Linked DNA regions of Oryctolagus cuniculus. The protein of the gene in region 5 interacts with the protein of the main gene of each other region in a biochemical or structural test. Links are inferred from orthologs where the notes say so. Each region holds a gene or a part of one and is shown on either strand. Other genes may lie near its edges.

Region 1 (4,124 bases), on a different chromosome or scaffold from region 5:
AAAGTCTTATTTTATAATTGCCAGACATTAAAATTAGTAAATATTATTCATCATGATAAAAGAGATCAATAGTCGATGAATTATTTTGATCATTAGAAATGTTTTAATTTTTTAAAAAAGGACTAAGTTTTCCAAACAGCCCTCTGAATACAGCCACTCATTCATTGGGGAAAAAAAGGATAAAAAAGTTCTAAGTGTTCTAAGTGTTACTGCAACATTTAAAAATCTGGGGAAACAAAAGATTAGCCACATTTTCTCACGATTAGCTCAAACATACACCTTCACATTCACCTACCTACCCAGTCCTCCGACTCAATCCATCCTTTTGACAAGTGATGATGCAAGAACGAATCACGTGAGAAATGTCAGCATTCTTGTATCCATCATTGTAACTAATCAATCAGGGACCAGTATCAGAATGACATGGGAGGTGGGGGGGCTACCTACCTACATAGAGAACACCCTCTTTTGTCTTCCCTGCAGCCTCTGCCACACCCTGTTTGGTTTTCTCAGCGGCAGCCACAACTCCCTCCTTGGCCTTTGAAAGCCCTTTCATGAACACATCCATGGCTAATGAATTCCTTTACACCACACTGGAAAACACAAAATACATGCTGAGTGAGAACTTTTTGGTAAAAGCAAGCAAAATTCAAACCATCCAAGCTAAAAACAAAACAGAAAACGAAAACACTAAAAATCTGTAGAAATCCCCAAAAGCGTGAAAACTCTTTGACGTGACCCCTCATTTCAACCACCTGGACAAAGCAGTCCGCCCCTCACTCCCACCCCAGCCCACTCCCCTTAAGCTTTAGCTTTAGGAATTTCTCCTCCCCCATCCATCTTGACTCATGCTGACCAGGGAGAGCATCTGAGCTGTTCTTACTGCATCTCAGAAGTGGAGTGGCAGGAACAGATGCGCCCTTCTTCCAACTTCCCAGGGTCCAAAGGGTGACCCTCTAAGTCAGCAGGAGGTTTAGAGGAAAGACCTCAGGAAAAGGACGGGAGCTGGGGGCCATGGCCAGGCGCATCCTTAAAATGAATCCCAGAAGAGGGGTAACAGGTTGATCCCAGGGGAGGGAAGAGCACTACTCACTCTGCATGTGGTTAAACCGCAAGACAACAAGGAAGGAGCCAGGGGACGCTCCTCTGAATCCACGGTGCCCTCCACCTCCGCCCTCTGCTATCTATCCGGAGCAGGCGCTGGTCTTCACCCGCTGGCAGCGTCCACACCCCTGCCAGCCACACTAAAGGGCGTTCTCAGCCGCACCGCACCCCCAAGCACACCTAGCGCCTGCACCTGTTAACCCCTTCCTACCTGTTGCCTTGTCCCCTCTGCACTTTATTTAGAAATTGGCCAAAGCTGTTTCCTCTCTTCTCGGGAAACAGCGAAAAAGCGGCCTACGGGGTGGCGGTTACCGTAAGAGAAGAAAAGTTGGATGCTCTTGCTCCACCCAGCACCCGGCGCTTCCGCGGGGAAAACGCACCCCGGAGAAGCCGCTGATTTCGCAGCCTTTGGGGAGGCCGGGGAGAGCTGGGTCAACATCCACTCCTGACGTGCACGCGAGGGACCTGCACGCCCCACCAAGAGCCTGGACACCGCGGTCCTGGGGTGCACCCTACCACCACCCCGCGTCCGCGGCGGCTCCTCTGCCTTCCCGGGTTTCTCCACGATTTCCAAAGCTGCCCGTTCAGAGCCACAGGTACTCACCCGAGAACTCTGCTTCTCCGGGACTCCGAGTCCTCCCCTCCCCCCCTTTCCCTTTAATTTAAACAAGTGCCAAATATTATTTAAACGGGCCAAGGGAGGGGACGGGAGCGCACAGGAAGGGCGGAGGCGGCGCCAAGAGACGGATGATCCCCAGAGGAGGCTGCCGTCAGCGCAAGCCAGCGACGGGAGGCGGGGGACGTGGGAGGCACACGCGCGAACCTCGCGTCCAATTGCCACTCCCCGTCCCCCGCACGGAGGATGGGGGAGGAAGAAAGCGAGGGTCGCGAGGGAAGGCGGGCGGAGGGCTGGAGGTAGGCGCAGGGCGGGGCTGCGTCCCGGGGCTGCCCAGAGGCCAAGCACACACCTCGCTGCGCGTCAGCACACACTCCCGCTCCGCCGTCGTCCCGCTCGCGGGCCCCTGGTCGCGGCCGTCCTCCTCCTCGCCGTCCTCCTCCACCTCCTCCTCCGGCGCCCGGATCTCCTCGACTCACCGCCCCCACGGCTGATTTGTCAGCGCCTCTCCCCGCCCCTCTCCCGCGCTCGCTGCGCTCCCGGCGCGTGCTCTCGGCTCTCGTGCTCCGTGGGGAGGGGGTGCGGGGCAGGTGGCCCCGGCCACTGCAGCCGGCCGCCTCGGCCTGGGAGGCGTAAAGGCGCGGGGCCCGGTGCTTCACCGCAGGCTCAGAGGCACCGGGAACGTGCGGACCTCCGGAGCGCTTTGGCTCGGGCTGAGGTCTCTTCTTTCCACCCGCTCCCTCGCTGTCTCCTTTCCTCTGGTTTCTCGGGGACCTCGCTCCCAGCAGAGCCTAACCCTGGGGCTTGGGGACCGAGGAATGGGCGTCGCAGCCGAGCCTGGCTCCGGGAGCGGACGGAGGAGACACGGGGCGCGGCGGGGGCGCCTGCACCTGCCCCGCGTCAGCCCGCTTCCTGACACTTAGCACACGGCCGAGGGGCGCCTCGTGCAGGGTCGCTTTTGTTCGAACATCCTCGAGGTTTTCTGTTCTCGCTTAACCCCGGGTGAGCCCGAAAGGGTCCCGCGGGCAGGCTGGGGACCACCGAGCAACAGATACAGGTTCGGGAGGCACGAGGGGACTCGTCAAATCGTCTCCCTACCAGGCTCTCACCATTTTCTTTTCCACCAATCAGCGGCTGCCAGAAGCTGATTTTTTTTTTTTCCCCATCTGTGAAGCAGGCAATAAATATTCCCCAGCCGTCGAAAGCGAGCGGCCCCAAGGCTTTTCGCTCTGGAAACGCGGCTTCGTTTCCAGACCCCAGGACAAGGTCTAGGAGGCAAATCCAACGTGGTGCACGTTGCCCTCCGAGCTGACACCCCCTCCCCTTACACGGCACACGCGAGAGAGCCCCCGCCGATTTCTGCGTCGTTTAACGCATTTTCACCCTTGTCAGTGCTGGGTGGAAAACAGCTGTTCCTAGATCACACCAGAAGGGAGAACCAGGCTCCCCCCCTCCAGCAGAAGGCCTTGCTTTCCTGGCCCGGTTCTTGGAGATGGGCTTAGCACGGAGGGGAGAACAAGGCTCTGCTGCCTCGTTTGTTCCTTGGTCTGTTTCTGTTTTTCTGCCGCTTGCACGCATCTGGGTTCTGAAATTTGAGTCAGATGTGCTTTCCACCTATAAAGCACAACTTGAAACCACAAGGGATGGAAGCTAACGACTACATAGAAAGGATAGAGATAGCTAAATATATAGATTGTTAGATAAAAGATGGATAGATGACAGGTGACAACCAATACATAAGAAGGGGAGGGGATGGTGGTAGAAAGAAATGATACAGATAGATTCCGAAGAAAAAAAAAATGTGAAAATTAGATCACAAGTATTTATCACTTAATAGATCCTCACACTCCTTGCCTCCCTTTTGAAAAACAGCCTTTGGACGATACAGCCGCTCATATTTTGTTTTCCTGGGATCAGAGGAAGAAAGCAGACACGGGAGCTAGTTTGCCATCTGATTTTAAGGCCGTGAGCAAGTTATGTCCTCCTGTTTACAGCTTTTCCTCCTGTAAATGAGGAGGTGAACTAGATGATCCCTCTCTTTTCAGTTTTTTATTATGGAAAATTTTCAGACATGTACAGAAGTAGAATCAAAGACTCTCACATGAGTATCACCCAACTTTCACAATGTTTCAATGCCTGCCTAATCATATCTAACTATAAACACTCCACTTTATCGCTACCAATCTTCATTTTTAAGTAAATTCCAAGTTTTATATGCATATTTTATCTGTAAACATTTCAACATGGATTCACAAAATGTAAATTATGAAACAATAATCACCATAGCACTTGAGAATTTTTATTCTTGGTTATAATTTACATAGAGTAAATGCTCAGCTCTTAAGTGTCGCTATGTGTCCATTTTGAAAAATCTGCACTATTTGGAAAACCCAGAACATTTTCA
Region 2 (2,888 bases), on a different chromosome or scaffold from region 5:
AGCCTTTCTCCTTTAAGGGAAGATGAAGTAAAAAGAAGAAACCAAAGCCAACAAATCACAGACTACAACTATCTTATTTTCAAAACTGTAATTAGGTATTACCAAATAAAGTAAATAAACAACTCTTAAGAGTGCAAAATGAAAACACCTTCTTGTTTTAAAGGTACAAAATCAAGAAAATACAACACAAATATATCCACATTTTAAATAGTTACATGGTGAGTAAATGGCATTTTAAAACATTTTCAATAGAAAACTGATTTATAAGTCAATTTATAGGAGATTCAAAAAATCAAATGTTTAATACCAACTTTAATTATAAATAACTAAAAAGAAAAACCATCCTCTATTCTTCTATTTTTGCATCAACATCTACGTCTTCTGCTCCTTGCCTTTTGGAGAAAACATTGCGTTGTAAGGCTGCCGTCTTTTTGGACGAGGACAAGGATCAAGATCTTCCTTAATGTAACCTTAAAACAAATTACAAATTTAGAAGACTGCATTTGTAACACATATTTCTCTCAGCACTTTTTTAGTAAACATTTTATTTGAAGCCAAGTTGATGTGATTCTCCTGGTTGCTAGCTGAGGTATGATCTCTCAGCATGAGTTTCTTTAGTAACAATAACAGCAGCAAACATTTACCACATGCTTTATATACATCATCTCAGGTAACTCAAATTCTTCTGAAGTAGCTTCCACAGAGCTACTTCACAGACGAGGTGATGGAGACCCAGGCAAGGTAAGTAACTCACTCAAATTCACAAAGCTAGGAGTGAGAGAGCTCTATCTAGTAGCAGAACCAGAGTTATAAGGATACACTTTCCTCTTCTGCCTCCCTTAGGTTGCAATTGGGAAAAACTGCTAAACATGAACTCTATTATTATGACAAATTCCAGGTGCTTATCAAAAAGACTTTACAGTAGCTATTTCATTAGATGACATGCCTCTTTACTTTTCAGACCATTAAGACTTTTTTCCAAGGTGTCCTCAGTCACATAATTTCCAGGAGTTGACTGAACTCTGCCATACCCCAAGGCCCCATTAGGACTATAACCAGAAGTTCTATCCAAACTACCTGGTTCTGTGGGATGACAAAGCAGAGAGACATTATGTCAAAGGGGACTTAATCCAGCTTGTTAATGGGTAAAGTGGAAATATGGTAAATAGTATCAAAGACTTCACATCTTTCAGAAAAACTAACTTACAGTTGACTATCTGTAGCTTGTCAAAATGAGAAAAGTTGTGGTGGGCATTGCAGTGCAGTGGGTTAAGCTGCTGCTTGGAATGCTTACATTCCCTATGGAAGTGCCCGGTTCAAGTCCCAGCTGCTCTGTGCTTCTGATCCAGCTTCTTGCTAATGTGCCTGGAAGACAATGGATGATAGCCCAGTCTTTGGGTTCTTGCCACTCATGTGGGAGAGCAGAATGGAGTTCTTGGCTCCTGGTTTTCGCCAGGCCTAGCACTGGCTGTTGTGGGCATTTGGGGAGTCAAATAGTAGATGGGAGATTTCTGTCTCTCTGCCTTTCAAATTAATTAAAAAAAAAAAAAAAAAAAAAAAAAAAAAAAACACCTCTTCAAAGAAAAAAGTGAGGAAGGGTCTCTACTTTTCCTCAAACAAACCATCAGAAAAGAAGTGTTGCTATAAAATGGCAATTTTAGGTGGTAATCTTATCATCTGATATGCATTCAATGTTATTTTATCTTCTTCTGGGCAAAGGTTTTATATATTTATTTACAACTTATAAATACATGCCTGAGGCCTGAAGTCTACTAATCAGTGAAATCTTTCATAAATCTAGAAACCAAATTATAAACATTCTGAATAGTACTGTATTTTCCAGTCACATTTCAGAAGATACATCATATTTCCAAAAAACTCAGTACTTTAAACTACAAAGTAAGACTTAGCTTTAACTGCGTAGTCTTTAGACCATGTGGAAAAAGAGCAAAAAAAAATACTAATTAAGTTCAGTTAAATTTATTTATGCACACATTTGATGTCAATATTTATCCATTATGTCTTAGGACAATTTTGAGTTGAAAATTCTTCAAAAAATCTGAATAGATCCTCTTTTGAACACTACACCAACATTCCTTTAATTACATCTGAGTTTTAGACTATGTTCCAAAAAAAAAAAACCAAACATCCCACCTAAGAATATAGTTCTGTAGGGAGTAAAATCTTTAGAATTAAAGAGGTGCCTTGATAAAGACTATTAGATGGTCTGATAAAATCCGCTGGAATGCTATCTTCACAACAAAGGGCTTGTTGAGTTGGACACTGCTTAGCTGAGTAACTCTTTTAAGGCTATATACCCTAGAGCATTTTATTTCATTTAAACCAGTGGTTACAATAAAGTTCAGGCTCAATGACTATGCATGATTGAACTTCCTAAATACTGGGATAGTACAGATGGCTGGTAATAGCCTGGCACAGAAGTGGGAGTATGCTGTCCCAAAGACAGTTACTATGATGTGAGGACTCTTGGCCAAATCTGGGAGAAAATTAACATAAAACCAGGAAAGTCTGTATCCACATTATTTTAGCATAGCACTCACTTGAAAGTAAGTAGTAACAATAAGATAATAACAAAAATTGCTATTTATGATCTTTTATTGTCACCTTTAAAGATGTATATATTCTCAAATTATATTAACTACTAAGTGCTGCATGTGAGTGAGCTAGTTAAATGTCAACAGGCAAACCAACATCCTTTTTATTCAGACACAGCTTATGAACATCCAGCATTCTGGGTGAGGTTTTAAATATAAAATTAACATAATAGATTTAAAAAGATACTCTCTTTTTAGCAATAAAAATTTACTGGCAACTTGTTGCTATTGAAATAAATAATAATGTCATTTTGACATTAGGATGAAAAAGAA
Region 3 (4,250 bases), on a different chromosome or scaffold from region 5:
AGGGCTTCCGGGGATTGACTGACTACCCCGGGTGAATGCCCAGCCAAGATGCAACCCCACGTGCAAGGGTCCCCCCCTTGTCCTGCCAGTCTATAAAGAGGAGAATGTTTACTGACATTTCTCGGGATTCCTAGTAGAGAAAGTTCATCACTGAGCGCCTGCTAGGAACTGACACAGTGCTGGTGTCTCACATTCTCAGGACTCAGGATAAAGTCCAAACACTTTGCACAGTCCTGTACCATCCAGTCCTACCTAACTTTGCAGCCAGGTAGGCTTCTTTCCATTCCCCTAATAGGGCAATTCCCAGCCTGCCTAAAAACCTCGACAGAGCAATTCCCTTTGCCTGAAATATCATTTACCTGGCTAATTTCTACGTATTCAAGTCTCAGCTTCAATGTCACTTCTTCAGGGAAGCCTTTATCAGCATTCCCTACTCTCCCAAGCTGGACTGCATCATCCCCTGTCTCATCAAGCTGGACTTCTGAGTACCCACAATGCAATCATGTCCTTACGTGTGCACAAACATCTGCTCACGCTCTCTCCAGCCAGCCTAAGATCTTCGAATGTGGAGACCATCTGCTGTTTCCTTGTCACCAGGCACAGGGGCTGGCACTGTAGTAGCACTCAAACCATTTATTGAGTACATGAGTAAATGAGAACATAATGGATTAAGAGTTCAGGCTAGGAGTCAGTACTGTAGTACAGTGGGTTAAGTCATGGCCTGCAGTGCCAGCAGGCGCCCATATGAGTGCCAGTTTGAGCCCAGCTGCTCCACTTCCAATCCAGTTCCCTGCTAATGTGCCTGGGAAAGCAGCAGAGGACAGCCCAAGTGCTTGGGTGCTGCACCCACGTGGGAGACCTGGAAGAAGCTCCAGACTCCTGGCTTCAGATCAGCCCAGCTCTGGTCATCACGGCCACTTGGAGAGTGAACCAGTGGATGGACACCCTTTCTCTCTGTCTCTCCCTCTGTCTATAACTCTAGCTCTCTAATAAATAAAATCTTAAAAAAAAAAAAAAAAAAGTTTAGGCTGAGGAGTCAGTGTTAAGCAGCTGCCTGCAGCACTGGCATCCCATAAGGGCACGAGTTCAAGTCCCAGGTGTTCCACTTCAGATCCACCTCCCTGCTAATGCACCTGGGAAAGCAGTGGAAGATGGCCCAGGTGCTTGGGTCCCTGCACCCACGTGGGAGACCCAGGTGAAGTTCCTGGCTCTGGCCTGGCGCAGCTGTGGCTATTGGAGAGTGAACCAGCAGATGGAAGATCTCTTTCTATCTCTCCCTCTCTAACTCTGCCTTCCAAATAAATAAATCTTTAAAAAAAAAAAAAAGTAAGAGTTCAAGCTGGGGAGTCAGGTAGGCCTGGCTTGACCAGTAGTTGGCTGAGTGACCTTGGCCAAAGCACTTACCCTTTCTTGCCTTGGGTTATGCATTTATAGAGATAATACTTCTCATTCAGGTTTGTGATGATGAACTAAAATACGCACAGATCGCAGTGAGAATATCTGGTACAATGAAAGCCTACAATAAAACTAACTCATCCAACAAATATACAAGGCACCTAATTTTAAAGATAAGTTATATAAGATAAACTACTAATAATCTCCCCCAAAAAATAAGAAAAAAAGGGATAAAAAACTAAACTCCTTCCAACAATGCAGACTCCGTCTGCTATCTCACGGCACTCTCCCCCTTAACCAAAATGCCTGGCCGAACCCCCTTCTCCTCCAGCTCCCAAGCACTGCCAGCCTCCTTCCTTACCCGGGGACTGGACAAGCTACTCCCTCTCTGCCTCCTGCTCTCCCCGGCTACATCCTCCAGGATGCAGACTCGATGTCACCTACTCGGAGCAGGCGCCCCTGTCCTCCCCACCCCAACCCCGCGAACCAAAATTCGCGCCTGCTCATCTGATGGGTAGTGCGTGCACATCTGGCCTTTCCCACTGGCCTGCGGGCTGCTGGGTCCTGGGCGAGGGGCTGGCAGGGGCCTGGCGCACAGCAAACACTCCGTGACGCTGCGGGTACAGGCGGCAACTGGGCTGCCTGTGGCCGTACACGCCGCTCTGCCCCGGGAGGAGAGCGGGTCAGGCGACGGCCGGCGCAGAACTTACCAGGCAGGGAGCGTCTCCCTAGAGGGCAGTTCCCCTGTTGAGAAAGAAGACATCATCGACGTCACCCGAGGTGAAACGAGGGGAGAAACCGCTCCTCCTGCGAAGCGCGCACGCAAAGCTGCCCCGGCGCTGGGGACGGGCAATCTCCCAACTCCACGGACAGCCGCGACGGGCGCGGACCCCGCCGGCACACCGCGTCCGCCCGACCGTCCCAACTTCCCCACGGGACTGACTGACACCCCCGGGCTTCAACAGAAGGGACGGGACGGGCCCCCGAGTGTCCAGCAGAGGCCGTCCGATGTCGGGACGGGAGCGGCTCCCCAGCCCCGGCGCGCGGGGCGGGGGGCAGCAGGTGACGGTCGGTGCGGGTGCCTCGGGAAGGCCTGCCCCGCAGGCCTCGAAACACAGCCCCGAGGGCGAGGCGGTCCCGGGCCGGCCAGCCCGCGGCCTCTGCGTCCCAGTGCCCTTGGTGCCGGGCCTGGCAGGCGCGCTGCGCCCCCGCCTTCCCGGCCGCCCGTCTGTCCATCAGCAGGTTGCTCACCCGCCGAGGCTCCGGCCCGGCCGGACCATACCTTCTGGAGGGCGGAGAGCGAGCGGCTGAACGCCCGGGACACGCAGCGGGACCGGGACAGCATCGCGACAGCAGCGCTGAGGGCGGGCGGACACCGGATATAGGGCCCGGCAACAACCGGAAGTGGGGCGGGCCGCAGCACCCGCCACGCTGCGAGGGGTGTTCGGAGCGAACCATTGGCGAGGGTGGTGGGGGCGGCTGGGCGGCGCGGGGTCCGGCGTTCCAGAGCAGGCTGTGGTGGCCACTGAGCTGCCTGCTTGCCTGCCCGAGACAGCCCTCTCGAGGGTGCCTACGACTGTCGGCGACCGCAGGGCCCCCGGGGTCGAGCGTTCCCTGGCCATTCCCCGGAGCTGGCTCGGAATTTGGCCCTCTTCTGTCTGAGACCCCGGGGTACCTAGCCATTCTGCCCCCTGCCCCACGAAGAGAGAGCAAAAAGCAGGCACGGGCTTTGAACTCGGATCCTGGCATACGTGGCTGCCTGATCTTACACCTGTGTGGCCTTGGGCAGGTGTCACTGCCTCTCAGAGCATCAGGCTTCTCCCTCTCTCTCCCTCACACACACACACACACCCTCAAGCTCTCCTTCCAAACTGTTTCCTGTACATGCCGCACATTTTTGGAAATTGGCCCCGCCCTGAGAACGTGAACTCCTATCACCTGGAGTTTAAACTCGGTCTTGTTCGCTGCTGCACCCCAGCACAGCTCAGGTGCGCAGAGTTTGTGGGCGGAATCCGGGCCTCCCTGCCGTCAGCACACTGCTCTGCTGCTCCCTAAGTGAAACCACGTGGCCGCCCCTTAGGTCCCCAGGCCCCTGAATGTTATGGATCATCACCTGCCTGATAGAGACGGCGGTTTATAAACCTGCGGCTGAACTGGTAATTGATGAAGTGTGACCGAGTGGTCTGTGCCTGTGCCTTCTGGTGTCTTCACCTGAAGCAGCTTACCTGGTCAGGACTCTCCAGGTGCTGAAAGTACCACTGGGGGTGGGGGGCGGAGAATGCAACCAGAAATCGGGAGAAGAAAGGGCAGGCATCGGCCGCGGTGCTCACGTCCTGCCTTGCATGCCCACGTCTCGTGTCAGAGTGCCTGGTTCAAATTCTGCTTCCTCTCTCAAGGACCCCCCCGGGAGGCAGCGGGCGATGATTCAAGCTCAGATTTTAAGACACAGGGAAAGCCGGCGCCGAGGCTCACTAGGCTAATCCTCCACCTTGCGGCACCGGCACACCAGGTTCTAGTCCCGGTCGGGGCGCCGGATTCTGTCCCGGTTGCCCCTCTTCCAGGCCAGCTCTCTGCTGTGGCCCGGGAGTGCAGTGGAGGATGGCCCAAGTGCTTGGGCCCTGCACCCCATGGGAGACCAGGAAAAGCACCTGGCTCCTGCCATCGGATCAGCGCGGTGCGCCGGCCGCAGCGCGCCTGCCGCGGCGGCCATTGGAGGGTGAACCAACAGCAAAGGAAGACCTTTCTCTCTGTCTTGTCTCTCTCTCTCACTGTCCACCCTGCAGGGAAAAATCCGTGCCCCGCTGCCGCTGTGACCAATCCTCGGTCTCCCTCACCTGGATTATTTCCGAAGCTCC
Region 4 (4,099 bases), on a different chromosome or scaffold from region 5:
CCATGCTACAGGAACCAGCTTCCAGCAAGAAACTCGTGGCCACAAGACATCACTAAGACTTCTTCATACAAGGACAGAAATTTTTTTTTCTTTACTATTTTCTCAAATCTGGTTTGCATTTGGTTCTAATTGGCCAGGGAATACCCTAATCCACAGGTGATTTTTCTCCAGGGCAGGGATGAAGGCCTTTGCGCCCAAACCGCCCCAGCGAATCTGGAAATCTAGGTACGCGCAGTGCACCTTCAGCAGACAAGACCGGTCACCTTCGGACAGGGGTAAGTGGAGTTGTTTTCCACCCAGAAGATAACCCATAGCCGAATACTCCTATCTCGCAGTCATTTTTCCTTTCCCTAACTTACACTGTGCTTTTCATTCCATGTGAGTTCATTCTAGTTTGGAACCCTCACCCTATGCACTAACTTGAAGCTAAATAAAACCCTTTAACCTTCAAATACGCAAGTGACCTGATTTTACCAATTAATTCTGACCTCCCCCAGAGCAAATTCTGTTCCTAGAATTCCAGAGGAGAAATTTCTAACACCTGAGTTTAAACAAAACCTTTAAAAAAGGAAAAAGAAAAAACTGTTAAAAAGCCATCTGCTCTTGGGTTGAAGCTAGGAGGGCCTAGCAACAACTGAGGCTAAGCCCCCTGCCCCACCCCAGGAGACCAGGAAGGTCACTTGGTATAAAAACAAGCCTAACCTAAAGAAAAATGACTTTCTAATCCACCACCAAGACGATAGGAGCGGAGTAAAGAAACACTCTGACGTCGGCCTCTCCACAGTGCGATTTGTGGTGGATTTTTCCCAAATCAAAGTAAAATTTAGAAAGCAGCATTTTCTTCGAAGATGCTATTCCGTTGCTCCTGGATTGAAAGGTACACAGCAGTCTGGCTCCCTGCTCCATGCACACCCCTCGACCCTTGGCTTCCCACGCCCGTGCCGTCCTGGCAAACTGCCCTGTTACTAAGAGTGCTCCTCTCTGTGGGCCAGATGAGACAACACTGCTTCCTTTTATCACTGGACCTATCTCAGATTGAGAAACACTATGTGTGTTGTCCAAAGAATGGTGGTACCTGGGTGAATGTTCCTCTTCCCTCCCCCTCCGGTGCTAGTCTACTCCGCCTCACTTGTTTTCAGGAAACGTGTTCCACAATTTCGCGTGTCTCTTTCCAGACCACTCTACAAGTGCAAATCACTCAGAACTGCCAGTGGAAAACTGGCTGGACTGGCAACTGAAGGAGACGGAGCAACAATTCTATCCCAAAGGAACACGCTTGCACCAACATCATGGTGAGGGTTCCCATATTTCTGCCCATCTACCTATACCTGTTTCCAAGATAAATTACCAACCAGGGAGTCACTTCCGGCTCTGTGAACAAAAACATGCTTTCTTTCCGGAGGCACTTGACCCCTCTCTCAGGAGCACTGAACTGTTTGTGTTAAGAGGATTTTGCCATCAAACCATAGTCGGGGAAAGGAAGGTGGTGGCTTGCGGTTAGCACAAGGAGAGAATTTCCAGACAAGCAGATGGTCCGTCCGACAGTACGCCTGTCCAAGAAGTCAAGGGCAGCCCTGCGAAGCGAAGAGTTTAGACCGTACACTTGTCCTAGTCTTTCGTCCCACCTTCCCACACCTGCCACGCTCCGCAAAGCAACCGCCACACTGCAAAACACAGCTGTTTTGTTTCTCTAAGAATCCCATCAGCCTACAACGAAGGGCAATCGTGGGTGTGTCCAGGTGTGTCTCAGGTCAAACACAACGTTCCCAACATCCTTTCCTGTCTGGATTTCGGAGCACCTCTGTGCCTTAAAATCGGACCCAAAGCCCCAGCTGCTCGGGCTTGTATCACCAAGAGCAGCCACTATTAACAGCCTCTTAACGCGGACTTTCGCACAGAGGAGCTGGACGGGGTTGGGAGTCAAGGCCGGGTGGAGGGGCCAGAAAGGAACCCGGCTGACTTCTGGGATGAACCCCGAAGTTCGCGCGCAGCCCGGCGAAGGCGACGGACAGCTCACTCCGGCTGCCCCCCGCGCCCGCGCGCCTCCTACCTTGGACCTCTCCTTGACGTAGTATTTGCCCAGGCGGCTTCCGCAGTACAGGACCAGCCTGTCGATGAGGGACAGGAGGAAGCTGATGGCCTCGCAGCCCTTCTCGTTGCCCCCGATCCACGTGATCTGGTCGCCGCGCAGGTGCCGCTTGGAGACGCCGGAACGCGGCCCGGCCAGCTGGCCGTCCCGCAGGGCCCCTTCACGGTGCAGCTGCTTCACGCGCTCCAGCACGCAGTTGCCCACCACCTCGCCCAGGAAGTTGTCCAGGTAGCAGAAGCCCACCTCGTGCAGGCAAGGCACGATGTAATCCACGGCAATTTTCTCCAGATCCTGGCTCATGATGTGTGACAGGGGCATCTCGCCCGCAGGACGCAGGGCAGGGACACCCCACGTGCGCACGGGGAGCGGGGAGCGACCCGCCGCAGCGCCCAGCGGAGGCGCAGCGAGCGGAGCGCTGGGTTCAGGAACCTGCGGCGGGCACTGTCCGGGAGCCACCGCGCCACCGAGCCACCGCGCCACCGCGGCACCCAAGGGCAAGGGAAAGTTGTCCGCAACTCGGGCAGGAAGGGCTCGCCGTTCAGGGGCCAGCCCGAGTTGTGCGGGGCTCCGCGAACCAGTGCTGGACTGGCCCAGAGAGGAGTCCGAGGGCCCCTTTTGAGGATGCGGAGCCACCACTGCGGCGGCGGAGGCGGCGGCAGCGGCCTGTGGCTGGGAGCGGCTGAGGTCCGGCCCATGAACCGGCGGACTCGACGCGTCACGGGCCCCGCCCCGGGCCCACCCCGGCCCCGCCTAGTCCCCGCCCAGGGACCGCCCCCGCTCCGCCCTCCCCGACCCCGCCCATTGCCCCGCCGGGGCTGCCCCGCCGCCAGGGATCCCGAAGAGCCGGTCGCCAGTCTCACTTGTTTGTGAGCTGGAAATTTTCCAATGCTCTCTATTTGCATAGTGTTTTGCATGAAATCCTAAAACAAAAGTGAAAACCTGGATCCGCACTCTTACGAGTGAATGAAATTAGGAGCGCGGGGTATTGCCACGGTCCGTGCTGGCCACCGCACAGGCTTTTGAGCAAAATAACAAACGCAGCAACAAAGGCTCATAGGTTCTACGGTGGTCTCGTTCTTGCCCTCCCAAGTGCCTTTCCTTCTTCCTTCTCCTTGGCTCTGACACGAGCCAGCGGGCTCAAGCCGCCGGGCGGGAGGAGCGCAGTTGTAGCTAGCATGAACACAGTAGCATGGTCCCTTAGCTCCTACTCTGTGCTCAACTTAGAGGGATGTGGCCAATGAAGAATCGCCGAGCCATAGCCGATCAGGCACAGCAAATACTGCATTCTGCTTTGCTGGGTGTCTCCATCCACTTACCTTCCACGGTTTTAGTAAAACACGATGTTCTGAAATTCTACCTGCAAAATCAGTGACACAGCTATGTAATATATGGGCATATTCCTCGCCCTGTCCCCCAAGTCCCTCTTCTTTCTCCACATGCAGTTGTATCCCCACGCCAGGGAGAGAGGGACAGACACAACCGTAAGTTGTCGTAGTGGCCCACAGATTAGCTAACTGCATTGTGGGTTTTTTGACCCTGTCCTACTGAGCACTAGAAATCAGAATGGGTGTGTGTGTGTGTGTGTGTGTGTGTGAAGGGGAGACACATATATTGCATGGAAAGCCATGTCCATATTTTTGGTTTCACCTTAGTGTGAGCTTGGCTTCTTCACTGCACAACAGAAGGAACTGGCTTTTCGGGTATCGTGATTGTGTGCACAGTGTCCTGCAATTCTGTCACTTTTTCTCCTTCGTCCTGGCCTCTGCGGGAAGAAACGCAGTGAGGGCACAGGGAGAGGCTTAGGGGTGTTCTGGGAGGAGCTGTCAGCGTACAGGGTTTAAGAAACTTTGGTGAAACTTCTCACACTGAAAGGAAGTCCTCTGCCAAGTCGCTGAGTAGCTGACACTCCTGGTATGAATGGTCAGCAGGAGGCGCCACTCCTCGGAAGCTTAAATGGGTCAGTGCTCAAGGAGCTGTCACCTAAAATTCCAGGGCAGGCGCCCATCATCC
Region 5 (3,964 bases):
ATTGCCTTTATTCCACTTCTACAGATGAGGAAATTGAGGCCCAGATAAGTTTTTTAAGAACTTGCCCTTGCGGCTGGCGCTGTGGTGCTATGGGTTAAAGCCATGGCCTGAAGCACCAGCAACCCATATGGACGCCGGTTTGAGTCCCAGCTGCTCCACTTCCGATCCAGCTCTCTGCTATGGCCTGGGAAAGCAGAAGATGGCCCAAATCCTTGGGCCCCTGCACCAGCGTGGGGAGACCCAGAAGGAAGCTCCTGGCTCCTGGCTTCGGATCAGCGCAACTCCAGCCGTTGCGGCCATTTGGGGAGTGAACCAGCGGATGGAAGTCCTCTCTGTAACTCTCTTTCAAATAAATAAAAGAAAAAAAAGAAACAAACAAAAAAAGAACTTGCCCAAAGCCACAGACATCAAGGACACAGGCACCATTTTTCACCCAGTTGACAACCTGTTGTTCTAACCTCTGTCCCACAAAGACTACCCAATTCCCAACTAAGCAGCCCGTTCCCTTGACTCAAGCAAGTGTGCACAAAAGTAATTTAACCCGAAGCACATCTTAACCATTCAACGAACACGGGGTTCACGCCGGGCTGCCACGCCTCCAGAATCGCTTCCGCGGCGAGGCCGGTCCTCACGCAGCGCCCACAGTCTTCCTGAGCCTCACGACGCACCCTAGATGATCTCCAACTCTGCTTTAGCCTACGCTACCCCACCCCCGAACTGCTATGCAAATTAAAGATGCTCGGGTCACCAAGGCATCCTCCCCGTCAGCTGGTCACTGAATAAGGGGGGGGGGGGGTTTCCTGTCCACCCCTCGAGACAGGACCACCGAGTAGCCCAACCCCGGCCTTAACAGTCCAGCACTAGGTCCGGTGCCGGCTGCAGACCCCCTCCGAGCCCCTGGTCCCGACCCCGCGTTCCAAGCGCGACAGCCCGGCGGGCTGCGTCGCACGCCTCCCCCACGCGCTGGTGACTCAACCGAGGGAAGAGGACCTCTGGGTTTTTCCGACATGTCCCCGGCGCCCGCGCCCCGCCCCGCCAGCTCGCGTGCCGGCCCGCCCACCGGCCACGCCCCCGCGCGCCCGAAGTTGCCCCTGTGGTTTGAGGGTGGGGAACGGGACGGCTGGGCTACCCGGGGTGTGGCCACGGGACGCCGGAGGTCGGCCCTCCTTCCCGGACCGGGAACCGCGACCCCGCGCGGCGGCGGCGGCGGCCGGGGCGAGCGGGGCGTGCTCCCTGCAGCCCCAAGCAGGAAGCGCCCGCACTGGGCGGCCCCCTGCGCCGCCAGCTGGAACCGGGCGGAGCCCGCGCCGGGGCGCAGGGTGGCTCTGCCAGTCCCCGCGCGCCTGGGCGGCCGCACACGTGTCCAGGCGTCACGTCCGCGCGCGCCCCCGGGGCTTGCGTCAGCGGCCGCTCCAGAAGCTGCTGGGCTGGGTTCTGCGCGCCGCTCGGGGTCGGGGCCCGAAAGCCGCCGGGAGGGAGGAAGGCACCGCGCCGGGTGGGACGCACAGGGCTGTGCGGATCGCCCGGGGCCGCGGAGGGCGTCGGCGCGGCCCAGCCCATCTCCCACCCGCCCACCGCCCGCCTGCCGAGAGCCGACCGTCGCCGTTGCCCGGTCCGGGGGCTGGGCGCCGTGGCGTTGCCCCGGAGCCTGCCGCCCGCGGGGCGCGCACCGCCTTGACCCGGGCGGCCCCGCGGCAGGCAGGCGCCCGCAGTTCCATGGTGGGCTCCGAACGCGATGAGCCGCCCGTCCTCCACCGGCCCCAGCGCTAACAAACCCTGCAGCAAGCAGCCGCCGCCGCAGCCCCAGCACGCTCCGTCCCCGGCTGCGCCCCCGGCCGCCGCCACCATCTCGGCTGCGGGCCCCGGCTCGTCCGCGGTGCCTGCCGCGGCGGCGGTGATCTCGGGCCCCGGCGGCGGCGGCGGCGGCGGTGGCGGTGGCGGCGGGGCCGGCCCGGTGTCCCCGCAGCACCACGAGCTGACCTCGCTCTTCGAGTGCCCGGTCTGCTTTGATTATGTCCTGCCCCCCATCCTGCAGTGCCAGGCCGGGCACCTGGTGTGTAACCAATGCCGCCAGAAGTTGAGCTGCTGCCCGACGTGCAGGGGTGCCCTAACGCCCAGCATCAGGAACCTGGCTATGGAGAAGGTGGCCTCGGCGGTCCTGTTTCCCTGCAAGGTAAGCCCGGGGACCTGTCGGCAGGCCCTGAGAGGTGGGGGGCATCTTTCTTGTTTGAAGGGGTTGGGGGGGGGCAGTGTCTACCCTACGTCCACTCTTCCCCCGAGCCGGCCTGTCCACTTCGGGAGTCACTCTGGGTTGATTGACATTTGCCCGGACACTGAACCCAGAAGGATTGGCCCTCTCGCTGCTGGTGGGAACACATCCTAGCCTTCCGTGCCCTGTGCCTGCGTCCTCAGCCGACATGTGCTCGGGTGTGCTCGGTACGGCTGGGCCGCCCAAGTAAAACTTGAACTGGGTGGCTCACCGTGGGGACCGGGGAGGGAGGAAATGGGCGAGCTGAAGGCAGCATTTACCAGCACTCGGCTTGGCAGCGCTCGTACAGGATTCCTCATGCGCCCCGCGCCCCCGGTCTGCACACCCCTGACACGTGGGAGCTCCCGGGAGTGTAGCTAAAAAAAGGGCGCCCGAGCCTGTTTTCCTCCTGCAACCAGAAAGCCCTGCAAGCCACGCCTTCCCCTCTGCTGGCCTTCCCCGGGACTGAGGAGTTGTGGCTGCGTTTTTGTACTGAACAGGGTGAAAACGAGGCCGACTGGGAACTTGACAAGGGCTCCTAGGAGCTGTGTTACAGTCTTTGAAGCCCAGCATGTTATTATTACTTTTTTTTAAGTTACCAAACCACAGACCAGAAAAGTTAAGTCCAGAAAGACCAAGACCCCTCCCTTCCTTTCCCATCAGCGTTGGGTTTGGTGAGGGAAGACTTTTTAAACCATGCTTCTATGCATCCTCACAGCTAAATATAGAGCCCTCCTTGTGTGTGTGGCCGAGGAGTTTTTAATACCCACACATAAATTTTGCTCCAAAAATGACTTCTGCAACCTGGTGTTCTTAATTGATGCTATCACATGCTGTTTAATGCCTGAGCCTAGCCCAACCTTAATGCACTTGAAATGGCTGCATAGTAGTGCATTGTGTGGTCATATTATAACATCTGTTTGTCTACGGCCATTACTTTAGAATCCCCAGGAGCAGTTTCACACACTTACCTGTCTATAATCATTGAACCTAGAGCTAGACCATAAAGTTAGTCTTCTAAACTGAGAAGTGGAAATAATGCTGTTAAAAGTTAACTGTTCTGCCTCTTTGGCCATTTAGGCTGCCTTGCATATCTCTTTGGTACTATTTTTTTTATAGGGCAAGAACTCACTTTTAAATTAAAAATAATCCACCCGAGAATTCAGACTTGGAACTCACATCAGTAAAATGAGTGATCTAATTTGGTCTCCTGCCCTGCAACAAATCAGGATTAAAATAGCATATTCAAATAAGGGTTTGAATCAGGGTTTGGACGATGGGTTTCTTGCAAGCTTAATAAGTTACTTTGCTTTCAGTCCTTCATATAATGCACACTACCTCCCTCAGCCCTTCATTTCTCATAAAATTTAAATAAAATACTTTCATAGCTTTCTTAGGGGAGTGAAGAGTGTGGCAGCCTAGTGATTAAAGAAGATTGGGTGATAGTTGACATAGAGTGGGTATCTTATGTTTGAGGTGTGTGTGTGTCTGTGTTATGGGGGTAGGAGTATGCCCCATGGGATTTCTGGGGAGCCACTGTCTCATACTTTCACTTTTCTGCAGGGGTGGGGTATCTTTTCTCTGCCAAGAGTGTTGGATATTTATAACATCATTCACGGGCCACACAAAATTATCAGCCTAAAAATCAGACTATTATAGTTTTATTGAATTTTTGAGTCCCACCTGGTTTTGCCTTGGTGGGGCCAGACTGAGTGA
Region 6 (3,676 bases), on a different chromosome or scaffold from region 5:
AGTCAGACCAGGAGAGATATTCTATCTGCTGGTTCACGTTCCAGATGCCCACAGCATTCAGCGTTGGGTGAGGCCAAAGTCAAGAGCCTTGAACTCAGTCTGGGACCAACTCCTTGAGCCATCACCAGTGCTTCCTAAGGTGTGCATTAACAGGTTTCTGGAATTGAAAGTGGAGCTGTAACTCCAAACCAGACACTCTGATATGAACACAGGTGTCTGAAGTGGGGACTTAACCATTGAGTTTAATAATACTTTTAATCTTCTACCTGAAGTAGATTTTTTTCAGTTATTCTTCCAGTGAGTATCTGTGGTTGGTAAATTTTCTCTTTGTCTGAAAATATCTTAATTTCTTTTTTTTTTTTTCAATAGCATTTTATTCATTCATGTTAAGTCACCTGAAATGATCTGTTTTAAATGCTCATTAATGTAAATGGCTGAACAAATCCATTTCAATGGATACTCAATATCCCACATAGTTAAGTCACTTCAACACAGCCTCATGACAACTCCCACACCAAAACAGTACTTTATTTTGTAAATTTTGACCCATTATTACTCCCAAGTTATGTTTTTATCAGCTGTCAAGTGTACAAGGTGAAGATAAGTTTTAGTTAGATGGGGCTACACCTGGAAAATAAATTTCTTAAAACTCCATATACACGCTTCAAAACTGCTGGGTCCCAAGTCCATCTATGAACTCCAGGGCTGCCAGTATCACGGTGCAGCATATTAAAGCTACACTATCTGAATAGCTTATTAATTCTGCATAAATCAGGTCAAGCAATGTGTCAACCTGTAACAGACTGTGCACTCTAACTGAACATGGCAAAATATTCATTCTTTTGAACTTTACATCATCATTTGATGTCAAACAATGAAGCAAATCCCAACAGTATATACAAAAAACAGCTTTGCATTTACAAAAGATTGTTTCCTATACTGATTAATCCAGGCAGCTAACTCATTGGTTTATGCAACTTTATTGAAGAAAAATAAATCAATTACTAGCAGAGCTATTAGTTGATCACTCATCCATTGACAACTTGCATCATTTATTCAGTGCTATATTAAACAGTGTATTGGAAGATAGATTAACTAATAGCTCCAAGCCTCCTAACAATTTAAATGAAAATTACAAAATGTTTGAGACCCTATTTTGGAATACAAAGGGTGTTTGACTTTCAATTTCCATTCTCTGTAGAACAAGAACAGGTCATTCCTTTATTGACATGCATAAAATACATCACATTTTCTGTTCTGCTGATGCTATAAATTCAATACCAATTCTCCAGCCACATCAGTTATGAGCATAAAGTATATCATGTAACCTCAAATCTCTAACAGTGGAAGGCTTAAACAAGAATGGATGCTGCTAGAATAATGCTGCTTCCTTTGATGTGACAACTGAGCATCCATCTCCCTCCCTCTCAGATGATTTCTTCAGCATGTTAGAGCAGTGAGGAATGGTTTTAGTCTCATAACCAAGTTAGAGTGAAGACATTGGCCACATAATACACATGCTCCATTTTTTTAAAAAATTCTGAATCTTGGGCAACTGTTCTCTTGTAACTACTTTACAGTTTCTAAAAGCAGTTATTGTCCAAAGCTGGAAGAACTTAAGTCTTCTCAGATGAGCATGTGAATGAATGGAGGGAGGTAAACAAAAAATAAAATTAAAAAAGATGAGGTCTGATAGGGGAGCAGCCGGATAAGAAAATCAAAAAAGGAACAGTAATTTAAAGTTTATTCCAGCTATAATGCAGGTTATTCTGACTTTAAGGTAGCATCACATGGCATACTTCTGAGTCCATTCCCGAGATATTCTGTTGTACTTATCTCTGTCTGTTTTATAGATCCGTGCAATCTCTGGCACTAGGGGGTCATCTGGGTTTGGATCACATAGCAGTGAACAAATGGATAAAAGAACTTTAGAAATAGTTAAAGCAGGAGACCACTGTGATCTTAGAATATCGAGACAAATGCTGCCATTACTGTTAATATTTGGATGATAAATTCTTGTTGTAAATGCAACCTTAGGTGGTTTGAAGGGGTAGTCTGTAGGAAAATGAATTGTCAAAAAGAATACACCGCCTTGATATGGGCTGTCATTAGGTCCCATAATTGTGGCTTGCCAGTGAAACATATCATCCCCAACTGGACCTGCAGAACATTGTGCTGGAGGGTCACGGGCCAAATCACTAAGTTCCTTATTAATCCGTTTCAGCGCCATAGTCTGTGCTTTTAGTCTGGCTCCTCTCTCCCTCTCTCGGTGTATGCTCAGAGGTCCGGCCAAAACTCTTGATTATCCGGGCGGCGGGGAAGGATTGTCTCTTGGTCTCACGCCGGCTCTGCCAGACACAGGCGCTTGGTATGGAGGCGGCGGGTATCGCGAGAACGACGTGGACGGCTCGAAAATATCTTAATTTCATCTTCACTCTTGAATATTGGTTAAAAATGCTGTGGAGTTTTAGTTTGATAGGAATTTTATATTGAGTAAATTTCTCCAAATATTTAGCTTATCATACTACTGAATCGGTATGCTTTCTAATTGATCTTTGTCTTCCTACCTTCTGAGTCTCTTTTCATGACAATTTGTTTTTAACAGCAGTTAACTTCACAAAGGGCTCCATTGTGAGAAAGCAAAGGAAGATGGATAAATTCAGTTTCTACCTTCTCTTGCTGCAGTCATATTTCTTTCTTCTACATTCATTGTTTTCCTTTCCTGCCTGGAAGTTGGGTGCCTGTGGCAGACTTGAGATCTATATCACAACCTTATTCATTCCCTGAAAATTTGGCCAAGAATGGTGTGAGGTGGAAGCAAATAGAGCATTTCAGCTGTGAGAGAAAAATTATTGGCGTAAGGAAACAAATGTAATGAGCCAGAAACTGGATCAAGCTATACCAGCATGAGAAATAGTCACAACATCTAATGTGACCCGCAGAGATAAACAAGATTTGACAAAGGCATTTTGTATGCACCAATCAGTCTTTCAGCTTATTCAGGAATTAGGGCCTGAAATATAGAGATCTTAGAACACTCAGAATCCTTGACCAGACATAAATAATGAGTGCCCATTTACAGTGGAAGAAAATTAGTTCTATAAAACTGAGAGACTTGCCAATATTAGCTGCCAAATTAACAATATTGAGGAGCTCGATTCAGTCATTGCCAGTCTCTCCACCAGGACCAAACATCCTGACTTTTTCAGCACATGAGGGGTTATCAAAGCATTACCAAGATGTTGGCACTAAGAACCAGCCTCCTGTTAGATGCATTAACTCATACAAGTAACAAAGGAGGATTCCTTAGCCATCCTCTTCCATTTAGTTTTCCCTGAAGCAACGAAAATTCTAAAAGACAGATGAATGAGCTCTAATAGCACATTTTGTTTAGATTTATTTTCATTTCAATTCTTACATGCACCAACTACAAATCATCTCCTGCATAGGTGGTGAAATTGCTTGATTATAAGCCAGAAAGAACCAGCTTGCTGTAAGATATTTTGAAGTCCTATGACGTATCATCACCCTTCTAACAGGGATTACAATAATAGCTGGTACTTACTGAATCCATATTGTGGGCTTGGCACTGTGGCATTTAACATAGGGTGTTTGATTTAATCCTCACAACAGTCATACAGCATGTACACTACCATCATCTTCATATTGCAGAAGA

What was found.
Region 1: of the proteins of SIAH2 (region 5) and SNCA, one has a biochemical effect on the other in vitro, tested with the Homo sapiens proteins (4 studies listed by BioGRID). The link is inferred for Oryctolagus cuniculus from reciprocal best matches to the Homo sapiens genes SIAH2 and SNCA.
Region 2: the proteins of SIAH2 (region 5) and RBBP8 form a complex in vitro, tested with the Homo sapiens proteins (2 studies listed by BioGRID). The link is inferred for Oryctolagus cuniculus from reciprocal best matches to the Homo sapiens genes SIAH2 and RBBP8.
Region 3: the proteins of SIAH2 (region 5) and DLST form a complex in vitro, tested with the Homo sapiens proteins (2 studies listed by BioGRID, with this or other methods). The link is inferred for Oryctolagus cuniculus from reciprocal best matches to the Homo sapiens genes SIAH2 and DLST.
Region 4: the proteins of SIAH2 (region 5) and EGLN3 form a complex in vitro, tested with the Homo sapiens proteins (2 studies listed by BioGRID). The link is inferred for Oryctolagus cuniculus from reciprocal best matches to the Homo sapiens genes SIAH2 and EGLN3.
Region 6: the proteins of SIAH2 (region 5) and ubiquitin-conjugating enzyme E2 D3 form a complex in vitro, tested with the Homo sapiens proteins (5 studies listed by BioGRID). The link is inferred for Oryctolagus cuniculus from reciprocal best matches to the Homo sapiens genes SIAH2 and UBE2D3.

Annotation. Positions count from the first base shown.
Region 1 is NC_091439.1:75,753,502-75,757,625, reverse strand, and holds the start of SNCA (alpha-synuclein), read right to left. Parts: upstream 2,801-4,124; 5' UTR 2,073-2,800; exon of another isoform or gene 1,316-2,072; intron 1,282-1,315; exon of another isoform or gene 884-1,281; intron 594-883; 5' UTR 569-593; coding exon 448-568; intron 1-447. UniProt on the Homo sapiens protein: Neuronal protein that plays several roles in synaptic activity such as regulation of synaptic vesicle trafficking and subsequent neurotransmitter release.
Region 2 is NC_091441.1:54,669,278-54,672,165, forward strand, and holds the end of RBBP8 (DNA endonuclease RBBP8), read right to left. Parts: intron 1,366-2,888; coding exon 1,214-1,365; 3' UTR 501-1,213; downstream 1-500. UniProt on the Homo sapiens protein: Endonuclease that cooperates with the MRE11-RAD50-NBN (MRN) complex in DNA-end resection, the first step of double-strand break (DSB) repair through the homologous recombination (HR) pathway.
Region 3 is NC_091451.1:20,942,912-20,947,161, reverse strand, and holds the start of DLST (dihydrolipoyllysine-residue succinyltransferase component of 2-oxoglutarate dehydrogenase complex, mitochondrial), read right to left. Parts: upstream 2,801-4,250; 5' UTR 2,741-2,800; coding exon 2,678-2,740; intron 2,140-2,677; coding exon 2,106-2,139; intron 1,194-2,105; exon of another isoform or gene 1-1,193. UniProt on the Homo sapiens protein: Dihydrolipoamide succinyltransferase (E2) component of the 2-oxoglutarate dehydrogenase complex. The 2-oxoglutarate dehydrogenase complex catalyzes the overall conversion of 2-oxoglutarate to succinyl-CoA and CO(2).
Region 4 is NC_091443.1:41,510,024-41,514,122, reverse strand, and holds the start of EGLN3 (prolyl hydroxylase EGLN3), read right to left. Parts: upstream 2,801-4,099; 5' UTR 2,785-2,800; coding exon 2,578-2,784; exon of another isoform or gene 2,531-2,577; coding exon 2,051-2,530; intron 1-2,050. UniProt on the Homo sapiens protein: Prolyl hydroxylase that mediates hydroxylation of proline residues in target proteins, such as PKM, TELO2, ATF4 and HIF1A. Target proteins are preferentially recognized via a LXXLAP motif.
Region 5 is NC_091435.1:130,614,544-130,618,507, forward strand, and holds the start of SIAH2 (E3 ubiquitin-protein ligase SIAH2), read left to right. Parts: upstream 1-1,164; 5' UTR 1,165-1,735; coding exon 1,736-2,173; intron 2,174-3,964. UniProt on the Homo sapiens protein: E3 ubiquitin-protein ligase that mediates ubiquitination and subsequent proteasomal degradation of target proteins.
Region 6 is NC_091438.1:28,033,138-28,036,813, forward strand, and holds ubiquitin-conjugating enzyme E2 D3, read right to left. Parts: upstream 2,404-3,676; 5' UTR 2,231-2,403; coding exon 1,787-2,230; 3' UTR 501-1,786; downstream 1-500. UniProt on the Homo sapiens protein: Accepts ubiquitin from the E1 complex and catalyzes its covalent attachment to other proteins. In vitro catalyzes 'Lys-11'-, as well as 'Lys-48'-linked polyubiquitination.